Linked DNA regions of Arabidopsis thaliana. Changing the gene in region 2 together with the main gene of any one other region gives a genetic interaction. Each region holds a gene or a part of one and is shown on either strand. Other genes may lie near its edges.

Region 1 (8,003 bases), on a different chromosome or scaffold from region 2:
CAAAATTTTCATTGTTTACACATGCAGAACGAAGATCGGTCATCTCTCCAGGCCCAGTTTGTTCGTAGGTGTTAAAAAGATGACGGGTTATTAGAAAATCCAGTACAGAATCGCCAAGAAACTCTAATCTCTGTTTGAGGAAAAAAATGATAGCATGAGGTTGGAAACCTGGGAATAAGTCAGCCAAATAATGCAGGGGTTGAAAATGATGAAGTCATACCTCGTATGAATAGGATTCACGAAGAGAGGAGTGTGTGATAGCCTCTTTTAAAAGAAACTTTGCAGAGAATTCATGTTGGATCTTTCTCTCCAACTCTATGAGCTCATCTTCTTTAGGAATGTAACACCGTAGAGAAACTCTATTGATGGCTTCAACGACTAGGTTTGGGTCAAAATCGACGTCAATACCGAGCCATTTCATCATATGGAGAGAAGCAGACAATCCACCGCTTACATAATAGGCACCAATCAGGGCCTCAGCGCAATCTGATACAGATTTTGAAACTACCCATCTATGACCCATGTCGCAAGACTTGCCTATTTTGATAGTCATGTTTTCTGTGAAGAATTTTGGGTCCAATGGTACTTCTCTAGTATCAATCCCACACTTGCAAGGAACAGGAAAAAGAGAAAATTGACCAGGTGCAGTCCAGCGACGCGGTTCAAAAGCGCCATTTCTTATGTATCCCTATCAAACCAATCCCCATGGAAAGATATTTCTTTGGTGTTCTGACTGATGTAAGACATTACTTGCAAATGTTAGAAGATACCTGTAGTTTGCGACTGGTTGTCAAGCGGTGAAGATTTGAGTTAGATATAATCGATTGTCTCTGCCGTGATAGTTGCCCCTCATCTTTGTCAGGATACTTAAGGAATAGATGACAGCTCGCAACATACTTCAAGACTGAATCCCCGAGCAGTTCCAACCGCTCCATTGAAAATGATTCGGGGCATGTAAGTGTTGTAACTGCTTCAAGAATCTGATTTATTGAACCAAGACAAGAGTTTAATGACAATCAAGATATCTAGTTTCATCTCTAAATGACAGATAGTTTTCAAAAACCATACCGATGTACTTGATATACTGAAGTTATCTATGCTACAATCAATCTCTTCCCTAAGCTGGCTGGCCAACATTAGAGACTCTAGGCGGTGCATCACTGAAGGCAGCAAGTAGATTGATTTTAGCACAGCACGCGGTACATCAATTCTAGCCAAAAGCTCTGGAGGCAAATGCGCATGGATATTCGGTTTTCTTTTCCTAACATTGCCAGCTTTTGGTTCTGTCTTCACAACCACTGTCCATTTACATTGGAAACAACATCTTAGAGCTCACACACTACAATATCATGAGAACATACACAATGATTCCATATGTTGGAGAAATTCTCAAGAATCAACTTACTCTCTTCATTGAAGTCGACTAAAAGGTTGTGCGCATGGTGACTCTGCTTCAACTTCATCAACGGCTGGTTCGGGTGCGCTAAAACAATCCCATACCTGATTAAAAGGGAATAACATTAACTAGAGAGTTATGATAAGTAGATTGAAAGAACAGCCAAAGCTAGAATATCACTTACTTTTTGTTAAAATATTCTGCATAAGTAGCATAGCCTGATGAGGCATCCACCTCAAAGGGGCTCATAGCAGAAGAATCGCTTACGGCTTCAACTATAGAGTATATCCGTCCAGTATGAATTGCAATGACCACAAGTTCTTCGAGACTATTTTTATCAGACGAAGCATTGGCAAAATGAATCAGATTCGTTTCTTCCATTTTATCGTCTAGTAAGACTTCCTGACCGGATGAGGTATTGCACTGATTCCCATCACTATCCCGAAGATCAAGAAGAGAATTTTTCTTCAAGAACTCAACTATTGAGGCACAGGAGTTGATAGCTGACCAATCAATTGTCGCACTCGAAGCTAGATCATTTGTTTCAACTGGTAGCAGTAGAAACATAAAGGCAGGGTGCCAAAGAGAACTAGTGTCAGTTTGAAGCAAAAATTCTCTCTTTGTTCCCTGTGACTTAGATCCAACAAACAACTTTCCAAACATGCCATTAAAGAAAAACTGCTGAAAATATTTTGCTTTGACCAGCTGCATCCAAAACACAAAGAAGAAGACATCAAGTTCAAACCATGAAACAAGAAACTGTTTATAACTAGGGATCAGAGTTATGTACCTCCTCTTGACTCAAACGTATCTGGCCACAAGGTGAGACAGAAGCCTTGACAAGCTTCCTGACCAAGTAAAGGTCCATCTCAACTTTACCAACATCCTCGGCGAGAGTTGACTCAAGCAAAAGAGAGAAACTCGAGTATACTTCGCCAGAAATATTACAACAGAAGTCAAACTTATAAGCCTGAAAGGTGGCGCCATCAATATTTTCTCCCCAGGTTCCTGACAATGCGTTTGCACAGGTTGTTCCGTGCAACTCCTTACGTTTTTTTGAACCTGTTCAGCGAAAAGAAAAAGAAATGTATACATAAATAAACAAATTAAGACAAGCTCCATGACCTTAGACATAGACATATGATATGCAACTGCTGATGTGTGCGTGTATGTGTGTGATACAACAGCGGCTGATAGAGGAACTAAAGACTAAAATCAGCGACACCAGCTAATTGACGAATTAATAAATTAGAAAACATACCTGCAGCCGATGAAGATGATTTACTTTTAGAAGAGGCAACCTTCTCTTTGCCGTTGGATTGTAAGAGATTGTTATCCAAGCGTAACTTTTTACACGGTGGTAACTGCTCATTTCTGCTAGGAGGATCACTCATAGTTTGTGTGGAAGCTGCTTCCTCAGATACAGTTATGTTAGAATCTGGGATAACCATGGATCCAATCTCCTTCACACCGTGTCCATTTTTCACTGGAGGTGGACACGATTTCAAGTTTGGAGCTTCTGGATCTTGAATTAGGACTTCTCTTCGCATAAGGTCATGCAGATGGTCTCTTTGCTTCGGGTTCCCTCTACAATAATTAGTATTCAGAAATAAGCTACAAAAACTGGAATTTGGTAAACATTTTGTGTTAAATAAATATTGCTTCCTACCTTTCAAGAAACATGATAGACTTAGAATTACTCTGTTTGGCATGTTTTTGAGACTGCGAGTAACTACACATTGTTTTGGGCAGGTCAAAACAAACCATGCATGAGCAATCTGGAACCTGAAATCCCTCTTCAACCACATCTGTGATGAATAAAAGATTCACCTACATGCATTAAAAAGCTTTCAGAGAAGACAAAATAAAAACATTTCTCAATCTATAAAACATCTGACTGTGATGAAGAACAGGTAACCTTGCCATGTTGAAATAAATCAGGGATTTCAATTTGCATTTTCTGTGCCGATACATTGGTGGAGGGGTTGTTTTCGGTTAAATACAAGACATTAAGGTAAGCCAAAGAGGCTTCTTTCTTAACGAATCTTTCGATCACTTTCGCAGTTATAATTCTCTCAACTAAAATAAGGCACTGCTTTTGCTTGTCACCTCTGCAAGCAAATTGAAATTGTCAGAACAGATGGAGATCTTGGTGCAATTTTGGGAGTTGGATAAACAATTTAAATTTACCTAAAGGAATCCAATAGATGGAAGAGTTCTTTTAGCTTTGGAGATACATGCCCAGAAATTACTGCTGACAGATGGTTTTGCTGCAAATCTACCAGACTCTTATCATCTGTTAAATAACACAAATGATAAACAGTGTAAAAATTAGTGACTAGAAGAGGACTCAATGCAATATAGAGCTTTGAATACATTACCTTGCGGCAAATACACCCCAATGGTGGATAAAATATCCTCAAGAAATTCCTTGCACACCATTGAGCATTCTTTATAAGTTTCACTTTCCTCTTTCGTATCTGAGATTTTCTCCAAGCAGACTTCAGCCGCCTATCGCGAAAGCAAGATGAAAAAAAAAAGAAAAATAATCAGCACAACAGGTATGCTAGCGGGAGAAAAAAGTAACAATGAGTAAGCAAATGAAGAACTGGTAATAAAAACTAAACTGGTAGAAAAATACCAAGTGTGCGCAAATCAGGCCAAGATTATCAAGGCAATGCAAAATCTCTCTGTAGTCGATAGACAATCTCTTTTGATATGTCTCAAACTTATTATCCATATTCAGAAAACTGTCTTTTCCCAACTCTTGAAGCCTTCTAAGAGAAGCATCAAACTGTACGAAAAAAAACAGAATATTTTTCAAGCACTCTGAAACATAATAGGAAAGAGTCATGTTCTGGATCATATTCAGTGAGCATATATTATATACCTTGAGGTGTGAAGTTTCTAACTTTTCTTTCAATTCCAAACTACAGGATGGTGATGGGTTATACAATATTGGACCTTCTTTAACCGTTGTAGCAAACTTTTCCACTCCTTCACGCTCTTCAGGATTAAAAATCTGAATTCAAAGTAAGATTGCATAGCATTAATTTGTAAACTATATCTGTTTCCTTGTTACACAAAAACAAAGTACCTTTGAGTCCATGAGTCTCTCAAGTTCTGATACTTGAGCTGCATAGTTAGAGGGAGAGGAAACACTTGTAGTATGAGTTTATGTTCCTTACATGAAGTTCAAACATTAAAAAGTAGTTACAGGAAGCAGGATCTTTGGTTTGGCATACAGAGGAAATAAGAAACTTTTAAATAGCATGCCTTTTCTAATGACGGCTGACGCAGTCAATCCAAATATCTTCGGTTTGCTAGTGGATTCGTGATAGAATTCCTTCATGAAAACAAGAAAGAATCTAGTTCGTTGACAAGTTATGGAAACTCTATTATGAAAAAACTAATAGAGCTTATCATTACTGAGAAAACACACCTTCATTAACTTCGCATAGGGATGATTGCCAGTGGTATGGTGGCATTCATCTATTATTAGAAGACATACCATCTCTAGTTTCAGGAATGCACTTCTAAGGACATCCAATAATATTTGAGGAGTCATAACTAAAACCTGAACCATACAAAACATAATTTCATTGCAGATAATAGACTCACGTGGATTCGGCAACAAAAGAGAAGTATGTGATTCTGTTAGTGAGATCAATGCAGTCACAAATCTACGTCAAGGGCTCAAGCAAACAAGTTCAAACAAAATAATTAAGAAATAATCAGCATTGGAAGAAGAACCAACCCCAAAAGTAACAAATTGGAATGGGCTTTTAACTAACTCAGAGAACATTCATGACTCAAAATACAACAATGAGCTGGTCAAAGTGGATTACAACATTCTGCCAAAGTTTCACTAACCACACAAAGAAATTTTGATATAAAATCACCAAAACTACAAGCAAGTCACTTTGTTGGCGTATAACTAGCCAAATATACACAAAAAGAAACAGAAACTTACATCGTGCTTGCTAAATTCCTCATCCCAGCGCTGAGATGTCCATTTATCAACTCCTTTAGCTCCAAAGTACTCTTCAACTTTCAAATTCACAAGTGCTCTGATCTCACAGCATTGCTAAAACCACACACACCAATAAAACATTCAAAAATAAGCTCCCAAGGCGACTCATTAGCCAACATCATCAACTCAAAATGATTAAAATCCAAATGAAACAGTTTTTCTTTTTACAATCAAACAAGAGACTTGCCTGTTTAACAAGATTCACAGTTGGGGCCAAGAAAATTATCAATCTTTTGTCTGTATCAGAAGAACCCATAGCTTTGATAAGCCTCTTAGTGATCTCTGACTTATCAATCCCTGTCCCCAAAACAGCAATTATGTTCCTGTTCTTAGCAACCTCGTACACTTTCAATTCATAACTACTGCCAAAAAAAAAGTAAACTTTAGTGAAAAAGACTAAAAACCCATAAGACCCAAAATCAAGTACAAAGAGAGGAAGATGATGATACCCATTAGAGTCAGTCATCATAGGAGAAGAGACAGAATCAAGATTTTGATCTCCATCGATTTCAGAGAATTTTCTCTTAAGCGAATTGCTTCCCCCACCTTCCTCCATTTTCTCCGGCTCCAACGACGAATGCATGACGAACGGATAAAAAGGAACACACTTAACGGGAAGAGTAGAGGAATTTCGAATTTCGACTTTGAGATTAAAACAAAAAGGTGATTCTTTTTCTCTTTTTCTGCACTGACCACTGGGCAAGTGTATAAATGAGGTCAGAACATGAGTTTCGAATGTTGAATTTTTAACTAGAAAAAAAAACTGCAACAAAATTAGTCAAACTATATTAATTTTTGGGTTACCTTTTTTCGATACTTTATTTTTGATTTTACTCTTTCTTCAAATATTTAGGCCTCTAAGGCCCAATGGACCTGACAAGATGCATAGATTCATTGGATATACTGCTGATTGATTACTTTTCTTCAATGTGCAAGCTGTTTCATGTTGTAAGTAACTTCGCTTTTTTTATTTATCCGGGTAATCTGGTAGAAATGTACTAAAATACTTTAGCGTGGACTTCTTCCCAAATAAACACCACAATGTATGTTCCGAGTTTGGAATGATTTTCGACTAAAAGAAAGCTAAAAATGTAGAAGAGGGGCTGACTTATGTTAATATCATCTAATTCTAATGTCTCTTTCAACCCGAGACAATTTACCTTGTTTTGTCAGAGATTATTTATAATTTGTTAGGTCATGAGGATTTCGGTCGGGTTAAATCATAACCAAACTACATTAACAACTCTCACCTTGAAAATTAGATAAATATAGAAATCGAAAAATGACCAAATTTTGAGAGATTTTGAATACGGAAAAAGAATAAACAAAATATTTTTTTCTAATTAGTGAAGAATTTTCTGAAAGCCAAAGGAGCAGAGAAAGAGATGCAATATATAAGTGAAATCACCAAAACATTACTCATTTTTACATGTTAGATATGTCACTTAATTTGAGAAAATGAGTAATATCTTGTATCACTTGTAGCATGACCATATGCAGCAATGAGTAGTGCATTAGCTCGAGCATTGTCGTCAATTTTCGTTGTCAATTTAAGTGATGGAAACATTTCCAGTGCGAGTTTCCTGCCACCATCCTACGAAGAGAAAAGCAAATATTTTTATTGCAATTGATGTGAGGATAGACATGAAATCATAAAAGTTTGAGAGTTAAGATTCATCACCAAACTCCAAATACTAAGATTAAAATGTTTGTCCCATGTAGAAGGAGTAACGTAAATAACAGAAATGCTAGATGTGAGAAGTGTCCATAATCCACATCCAAGTCCATCATTGTAGGCAGTCTAAGATATAAAGACACAATCATGTTTCAGTGTATCGAATCCATATCATAAACGTACTGAAGTAAAAAAAAAAAGAGATGAGTAATTTTTACAATAGCGTTTTCAGGATGAATATATTTCGCTACAAATGCCTTGGTTCCTACAACAGTGAAGAGACCAAATTGATTTTAAACATAACGCAAAGAACACGCCACAACAAAAACACAGTGAAATATCGTTCTTACCGGATGGAACATCTAGACTACGAATCAGTTCTAGCATTGATTTTTCGTTGAAACTACGTGTTCGGATGTTTTGAACTACAACTTCCAACTGAGGAGTATCATATACCTTCACACAGATTTAACACACAAAACTTAATCCATATCAAAATGACTAAAGTGAATTTTCCACTGTATTCACCAAGAGAACAGTTTACAAAGCATGTCTTATTTAACTTAAGGGATAGATAACAAAACTCACTAACTCAATAGTTACAAACAGGTTAATTAGTTGTAAATCTTCTATCATCCAATATTAATTTCATTCATATAATTCCTATAGATAACAATCGAACCTTGTATATATAAATTATGATAAACCAAGTCCATCTGCCTGAGATTACCCAATGAAATATCGAACCTTGTATATATAATTTATGACTAACCAAGTGCATGTCCTGAGATTACCCAATGGAATATCTTAATTTACTTCACAAACCCTAGAATCTTGTAGTTTCACAGTTCTAGGGTTTCAGAAGAAAAACAATATTCTTTTCGAAAATTAATTAGTAG
Region 2 (7,721 bases):
GTTACAGAGTATGATCGAGTAACAAGCGACGATTTATATGAGGTTTTTAGGCATGCCGGCTTTAGACTATAGTCGATGAAGCAAGGACTTTAAGGTCGACGCCAAAATATTTTTTATATTTTGAACTTTTGAGAACCCTAGTTAGGCCTAAGCTTCACTTTGCTTGGCACACAGCCGGTTATATTGGTGGATCAATGTATGGATATTTTGTATGTTTGGAGTGATGGCTTTATCGAACTCTCTGAACACAACTCTGCTAACCATACATCCACACGTCGTGTGATAATTAGATCTTATATAATAGTCCAAAAATGACTTCCAACTCATATATTTATATAAATAGTCTTCTTTTGTGGTTATATGTTTGGTTATTTCTATTTATAGTTTAATTCAATACCAATATTACAACTAAATCAGTTTAATTTTTCTTTGATTTGGTCTTTGAATTCACTTTCATGGTCAGTTTCATTGTTTAAGATAAACTTGAATGGATTAAACCGAATTAGGCATTCACTTTTGATCAGTCTCTTCTGCCATAATCTTCATAAGACAAACCCAAATTTGTAAAAACTTTTTTGAAAAAGAAACCGTAAGTAAAAGTAAAAGCGTTTAGGATCCAAGTATGGATTAGCTTCGTAATTTGAATTAGGTTTAGCTATACGAATTCGTTTACTTTTGTACCATATTTAGTTGTATTGTTTTCAATAATAGTTTTAAACATTCGAATAATCCGTTCCCAACTTTTTATCCACTATTATTCGTCTCAGTTTCTAGGATAGATATGTCCACACAAAAAAGCTCTTGATTTTTTTTTTTTTTTTTACAAATTCCAAATTTCTTTGCTCATAACCCAATCATTAGGTTATGACCACCATTGACTCACTCATAAGTCATAAGTCATAGGCTCATAACCAATCCAACAAGTTGTTAAGATTGACAACAACGATTCACTAAGATTCCAACCAAGTCCATGAAATAAATGATTTACAATACTCATTTCTCATGTACGTCTCTTTGAAGGTTTCTTGCATGACAGGAAATCAAAGGTTAGCACACTAATTACTCTTTTTTTCACACACATTCACAGTTTCACACATATGGTGCAGTATTTTGACTCCTATCGTACTAGACTAAAACATTTGGAATGATCAAAAACGAAAGACTCGTTGGGCAACTAGCCTAATAATCACTCTACTACACTAGCTCCCATATCAGTGGAAAATAATAATTCTAAAACGAATCATTTAACTTCTGCATATGTAAACGAAAACGTGTAAATTTATGAGATTACGTAAAAATTAGCAAAATAATATATTATTGATCAAAATTATAAACGTGGATTACATAACATGTTATTTGTTTAAATCATAATTTGATGATAAATTTATAAATAAAGTTCTAATTATTTTATATCTAAAGCAAAATTAAGATTATTTTATAATTTCTATTAATTATAAAATTAGTTAGTTCATATAATTTTAAATAGTTACGTAAACGAGAAAAAATACGAAATTTTAAAGAGAAAAAGATAACAGAAAAGACGATGATGACGATGACGATAACAACGACAATATTATTAACTTTTTAAATCATCTTTCCCATAGTCTAGGAGATTTTGTAGAAAAGAATCATTATTTTTAAAATAAAATTCCGTAAAACTTTTCCCGCCAACCAAACGAACTTTCGCCCTACATAAACAAACGGTTATGAAAAATAGTGAAACACACAACAACACATGTTATATCCTCTTCTTTATACGTTAGGCCAAAAAAGCTTTTTCTATATTACTCTTTAACTTCATCGATTCCAAGAGAAGAAACGAAGCATCAGTGATCTTATCCTCTCATAGCTACCACCGAACTAACTCTCTCCATCACCACCATAACCATTGATTCTACTGGTAATGAATTTTGTTTTTTTCTTACTTTTTTTTACATTTTGTTGTGAATCTAAAAAGTCTCTCTTTCACCTAACGAACGGATTAATCGTTCATGTCGCCACTCACCCAAAATCAATGACTTCCGGAGATCTCTCTTTCTCTAAAACCCCAGAAAAAAGTGGATCTGATCATTTTATAAAATCGTGATTTTTAAAAAAAATTGGTGATCTCTTTTATTGAAGAAATTATTGAACTTTTTGCAGTGGAAAAAATAGAAAGTTCCAAGCTTTTTCTCAAATGGTTCTGATTTAAGTAAGAGTGAAGAAAAGTAAAAATAGAGTCAGAAATGGAGAAACAGAGGAGAGAAGAAAGCAGCTTTCAACAACCTCCATGGATTCCTCAGACACCCATGAAGCCATTTTCACCGATCTGCCCATACACGGTGGAGGATCAATATCATAGCAGTCAATTGGAGGAAAGGTTTGTGCTTTTTTGTTCTAAAGTTGAGAAATTTCAAAGAGTAGTGATGGGTAATTGGTTAAGTAAGGTATTGATGCATGCAGGAGATTTGTTGGGAACAAGGATATGAGTGGTCTTGATCACTTGTCTTTTGGGGATTTGCTTGCTCTAGCTAACACTGCATCCCTCATATTCTCTGGTCAGACTCCAATACCTACAAGTAAGAGGGGATTTTGATTCTGGTCTCATGAGAAATGAAATCGCTTTGTCAAATTTTGATTCTGTTTGAGTTGGACTGAGAAAGATGTGATTCTCAATGTAGGAAACACAGAGGTTATGCAAAAAGGTACTGAAGAAGTGGAGAGTTTGAGCTCAGTGAGTAACAATGTTGCTGAACAGATCCTCAAGACTCCTGAAAAACCTAAGAGGAAGAAGCATCGGCCAAAGGTTCGTAGAGAAGCTAAACCCAAGAGGGAGCCTAAACCACGAGCTCCGAGGAAGTCTGTTGTCACCGATGGTCAAGAAAGCAAAACACCAAAGAGGAAATATGTGCGGAAGAAGGTTGAAGTCAGTAAGGATCAAGACGCTACTCCGGTTGAATCATCAGCAGCTGTTGAAACTTCAACTCGTCCTAAGAGGCTCTGTAGACGAGTCTTGGATTTTGAAGCCGAAAATGGAGAAAACCAGACCAACGGTGACATTAGAGAAGCAGGTGAGATGGAATCAGCTCTTCAAGAGAAGCAGTTAGATTCTGGGAATCAAGAGTTAAAAGATTGCCTTCTTTCGGCTCCTAGCACGCCCAAGAGAAAGCGCAGCCAAGGTAAAAGAAAGGGAGTTCAACCAAAGAAAAATGGCAGTAATCTAGAAGAAGTCGATATTTCGATGGCGCAAGCTGCAAAGAGAAGACAAGGACCAACTTGTTGCGACATGAATCTATCAGGGATTCAGTATGATGAGCAATGTGACTACCAGAAAATGCATTGGTTGTATTCCCCAAACTTGCAACAGGGAGGGATGAGATATGATGCCATTTGCAGCAAAGTATTCTCTGGACAACAGCACAATTATGTTTCTGCCTTTCACGCTACGTGCTACAGTTCCACATCTCAGCTCAGTGCTAATAGAGTCCTAACCGTTGAAGAAAGACGAGAAGGTATCTTTCAAGGAAGGCAAGAGTCTGAGCTAAATGTTCTCTCGGATAAGATAGACACGCCGATCAAGAAGAAAACAACAGGCCATGCTCGATTCCGGAATTTGTCTTCAATGAATAAACTTGTGGAAGTTCCTGAGCATTTAACCTCAGGATATTGTAGCAAGCCACAGCAAAATAATAAGATTCTTGTTGATACGCGGGTGACTGTGAGCAAAAAGAAGCCAACCAAGTCTGAGAAATCACAAACCAAACAGAAAAATCTTCTTCCGAATCTTTGCCGTTTTCCACCTTCATTTACTGGTAATGAATAGATACAGAACTATATTTCTTTGTTTTTTTGAATCTGTTAAATGCAGACTATTTCTTGATAATGATGATGTTTGATTCCTGCAGGTCTTTCTCCAGATGAACTTTGGAAACGACGTAACTCGATCGAAACAATCAGTGAGCTATTGCGTCTATTAGACATCAACAGGGAGCATTCTGAAACTGCTCTCGTTCCTTACACAATGAATAGCCAGATTGTACTCTTTGGTGGTGGCGCTGGAGCAATTGTGCCTGTAACTCCTGTTAAAAAACCACGCCCACGACCAAAGGTTGATCTAGACGATGAGACAGACAGAGTGTGGAAACTGCTATTGGAGAATATTAATAGCGAAGGTGTTGACGGATCAGACGAGCAGAAGGCGAAATGGTGGGAGGAAGAACGTAATGTGTTTCGAGGACGAGCTGACTCATTTATTGCAAGGATGCACCTTGTACAAGGTTATACACCACACTTGTCCTTTTATGTGTTTCTGTTCTAACCACATGGTTTCAATTAGTATGTCTCAGCTACTGCTTCTTGTTATGGTCTTTGGTTTCTAACAGGGGATCGACGTTTTACGCCTTGGAAGGGATCCGTCGTGGATTCTGTTGTTGGAGTATTTCTCACTCAAAATGTTTCAGACCATCTCTCAAGGTACAAGCTCTTACATAATTCTATGTCAAACTAAATCCAAGACAGCAAAAAGTCACAAAACTAACTTGCTTTGATGTTTTTTACTCCTTGTAGTTCGGCTTTCATGTCGTTGGCTTCCCAGTTCCCTGTCCCTTTTGTACCGAGCAGTAACTTTGACGCTGGAACAAGCTCGATGCCTTCTATTCAAATAACGTACTTGGACTCAGAGGAAACGATGTCAAGCCCACCCGATCACAATCACAGTTCTGTTACTTTGAAAAATACACAGCCTGATGAGGAGAAGGATTATGTACCTAGCAATGAAACCTCCAGAAGCAGTAGTGAGATTGCCATCTCAGCCCATGAATCAGTTGACAAAACCACGGATTCAAAGGAGTATGTTGATTCAGATCGAAAAGGCTCAAGTGTAGAGGTTGATAAGACGGATGAGAAGTGTCGTGTCCTGAACCTGTTTCCATCTGAAGATTCTGCACTTACATGTCAACATTCGATGGTGTCTGATGCTCCTCAAAATACAGAGAGAGCAGGATCAAGCTCAGAGATCGACTTAGAAGGAGAGTATCGTACTTCCTTTATGAAGCTCCTACAGGGGGTACAAGTCTCTCTAGAAGATTCCAATCAAGTATCACCAAATATGTCTCCGGGTGATTGTAGCTCAGAAATTAAGGGTTTCCAGTCAATGAAAGAGCCCACAAAATCCTCTGTTGATAGTAGTGAACCTGGTTGTTGCTCTCAGCAAGATGGGGATGTTTTGAGTTGTCAGAAACCTACCTTAAAAGAAAAAGGGAAAAAGGTTTTGAAGGAGGAAAAAAAAGCGTTTGACTGGGATTGTTTAAGAAGAGAAGCCCAAGCTAGAGCAGGAATTAGAGAAAAAACAAGAAGTACAATGGACACCGTGGATTGGAAGGCAATACGAGCAGCAGATGTTAAGGAAGTTGCTGAAACAATCAAGAGTCGCGGGATGAACCATAAACTTGCAGAACGTATACAGGTAAAAATTTAGTGGCTAAATTTCGTGATAACATTCATTTTAAGTATTTGACTCTGAACATGAAAATCATGCAGGGCTTCCTTGATCGACTGGTAAATGACCATGGAAGTATCGATCTTGAATGGTTGAGAGATGTTCCACCAGATAAAGCAAAGTAAGTTTGAAAGACGAAGCATTTTATTTCTTCTTTATTAACCTATACAAAGATTACTACTTTGGCAGTTTTAGTGACTTAATAATGAATTATGTACTCTCGTATATTACAAAACCCTGCAGAGAATATCTTCTGAGCTTTAACGGATTGGGACTGAAAAGTGTGGAGTGTGTGCGGCTTCTAACACTTCACCATCTTGCCTTTCCAGTAAGCAAGGATCAAACTTTTGTTTCTGTCCCTATAAAAAGTGAATTATATGATGCATGAACTTAATTTATTGACAGGTTGATACAAATGTTGGGCGCATAGCCGTCAGACTTGGATGGGTGCCCCTTCAGCCGCTCCCAGAGTCACTTCAGTTGCATCTTCTGGAAATGTAAGCACTTTTCAAAATGGTCCTACTTGGAAATTGTAATTTGTTACTTAATACATCTGAGGTTTGGTTTGTCTAGGTATCCTATGCTTGAATCTATTCAAAAGTATCTTTGGCCCCGTCTCTGCAAACTCGACCAAAAAACATTGTAAGAATGATGTTTATCACTAACTTTTTTTTTTTCATGCCTCAGTCTAATACACTTATTCATTAGTTTAATACCCTATTATCTCACAGGTATGAGTTGCACTACCAGATGATTACTTTTGGAAAGGTATGTATTAAAGAAATACATATATACGTATGTCAAAATCAGCTCACATGATGAGGTTTGTAATCTGCTTGATTATTGTATCAGGTCTTTTGCACAAAGAGCAAACCTAATTGCAATGCATGTCCGATGAAAGGAGAATGCAGACATTTTGCCAGTGCGTTTGCAAGGTGCTACAACATGTTCTCTTAAACCTTTAGTACCACTATGACTCTATGAGGAAAGTCCTTGTTAAAATATAACCCAGTTAAATGAGAATTGGTCTGTATCTAAACGAAGCTCTGAATCATCATTACAGAAAATTTAGTAACATTCATTTGTTTTACAGTGCAAGGCTTGCTTTACCAAGTACAGAGAAAGGTATGGGGACACCTGATAAAAACCCTTTGCCTCTACACCTGCCAGAGCCATTCCAGAGAGAGCAAGGGTCTGAAGTAGTACAGCACTCAGAACCAGCAAAAAAGGTCACATGTTGTGAACCAATCATCGAAGAGCCTGCTTCACCGGAGCCAGAAACCGCAGAAGTATCAATAGCTGACATAGAGGAGGCGTTTTTTGAGGATCCAGAAGAAATTCCTACCATCAGGCTAAACATGGATGCATTTACCAGTAACTTGAAGAAGATAATGGAACACAACAAGGAACTTCAAGACGGAAACATGTCCAGCGCTTTAGTTGCACTTACTGCTGAAACTGCTTCTCTTCCAATGCCTAAGCTCAAGAATATCAGCCAGTTAAGGACAGAACACCGAGTGTAAGAATCCATTTTTCTCTGTTTTTCTTCGTTCTTAGGTTAAAAATGAAATCAGAAACACATTTTTCAAAATTATTAAAGCTTGAACAGAGTAGAATATTTAAGTGATTGACCAAGCATGAACTCGTAAGTTGGAAAGCAGACAAACTTCCCAATAATTACAGGCTATGCCATAACTTGTTTCTTTTCCCGTATCTTGCAGTTACGAACTTCCAGACGAGCATCCTCTTCTAGCTCAGGTATGTGAGCTAACTGGATAAGGACACATGCCGTATAGAGTGCTGTCTATATTGTAAAATCTGACTAGCTGTTTGTGATTTCTTGTGGCAGTTGGAAAAGAGAGAACCTGATGATCCATGTTCTTATTTGCTTGCTATATGGACGCCAGGTAATTTAATGATTTGCATATCTTTTAATCATGAAATCAAATCGGTATCTTTAATCGATGTGTTATTCAACAGGTGAGACGGCTGATTCTATTCAACCGTCTGTTAGTACGTGCATATTCCAAGCAAATGGTATGCTTTGTGACGAGGAGACTTGTTTCTCCTGCAACAGCATCAAGGAGACTAGATCTCAAATTGTGAGAGGGACAATTTTGGTAAGTAGTTGCATCAATCTCCTTATGCGGCTTACTACACTTATGTTTTCTACAGATTAATATGTTGTAAATTGTACAGATTCCTTGTAGAACAGCGATGAGGGGTAGTTTTCCTCTAAATGGAA

The links.
Region 1: of DML1 (region 2) and DCL3, changing one suppresses a phenotype caused by changing the other (phenotypic suppression), as found in Arabidopsis thaliana (one study listed by BioGRID).

Annotation. Positions count from the first base shown.
Region 1 is NC_003074.8:15,751,557-15,759,559, reverse strand, and holds the start of DCL3 (dicer-like 3), read right to left. Parts: upstream 6,013-8,003; coding exon 5,879-6,012; intron 5,792-5,878; coding exon 5,617-5,791; intron 5,484-5,616; coding exon 5,370-5,483; intron 4,974-5,369; coding exon 4,839-4,973; intron 4,743-4,838; coding exon 4,669-4,742; exon of another isoform or gene 4,558-4,668; coding exon 4,494-4,557; intron 4,419-4,493; coding exon 4,287-4,418; intron 4,191-4,286; coding exon 4,038-4,190; intron 3,908-4,037; coding exon 3,778-3,907; intron 3,693-3,777; coding exon 3,587-3,692; intron 3,508-3,586; coding exon 3,315-3,507; intron 3,227-3,314; coding exon 3,066-3,226; intron 2,984-3,065; coding exon 2,658-2,983; intron 2,459-2,657; coding exon 2,187-2,458; intron 2,102-2,186; coding exon 1,581-2,101; intron 1,501-1,580; coding exon 1,406-1,500; intron 1,299-1,405; coding exon 1,069-1,298; intron 981-1,068; coding exon 771-980; intron 689-770; coding exon 221-688; intron 131-220; coding exon 1-130. Other genes in the region: AT3G43910 (MutS2), read right to left, coding at 6,871-7,023, 7,111-7,230, 7,323-7,369, 7,455-7,560. UniProt on the Arabidopsis thaliana protein: Ribonuclease (RNase) III involved in RNA-mediated post-transcriptional gene silencing (PTGS).
Region 2 is NC_003071.7:15,308,777-15,316,497, reverse strand, and holds the start of DML1 (demeter-like 1), read left to right. Parts: upstream 1-1,690; 5' UTR 1,691-1,900; intron 1,901-2,142; 5' UTR 2,143-2,225; coding exon 2,226-2,359; intron 2,360-2,442; coding exon 2,443-2,558; intron 2,559-2,660; coding exon 2,661-3,791; intron 3,792-3,884; coding exon 3,885-4,256; intron 4,257-4,361; coding exon 4,362-4,452; intron 4,453-4,545; coding exon 4,546-5,443; intron 5,444-5,517; coding exon 5,518-5,597; intron 5,598-5,719; coding exon 5,720-5,804; intron 5,805-5,881; coding exon 5,882-5,973; intron 5,974-6,049; coding exon 6,050-6,118; intron 6,119-6,207; coding exon 6,208-6,244; intron 6,245-6,328; coding exon 6,329-6,411; intron 6,412-6,569; coding exon 6,570-6,995; intron 6,996-7,197; coding exon 7,198-7,234; intron 7,235-7,325; coding exon 7,326-7,383; intron 7,384-7,456; coding exon 7,457-7,596; intron 7,597-7,675; coding exon 7,676-7,721. UniProt on the Arabidopsis thaliana protein: Bifunctional DNA glycosylase/lyase, which excises 5-methylcytosine (5-meC) and 5-hydroxymethylcytosine (5-hmeC), leaving an apyrimidinic (AP) site that is subsequently incised by the lyase activity.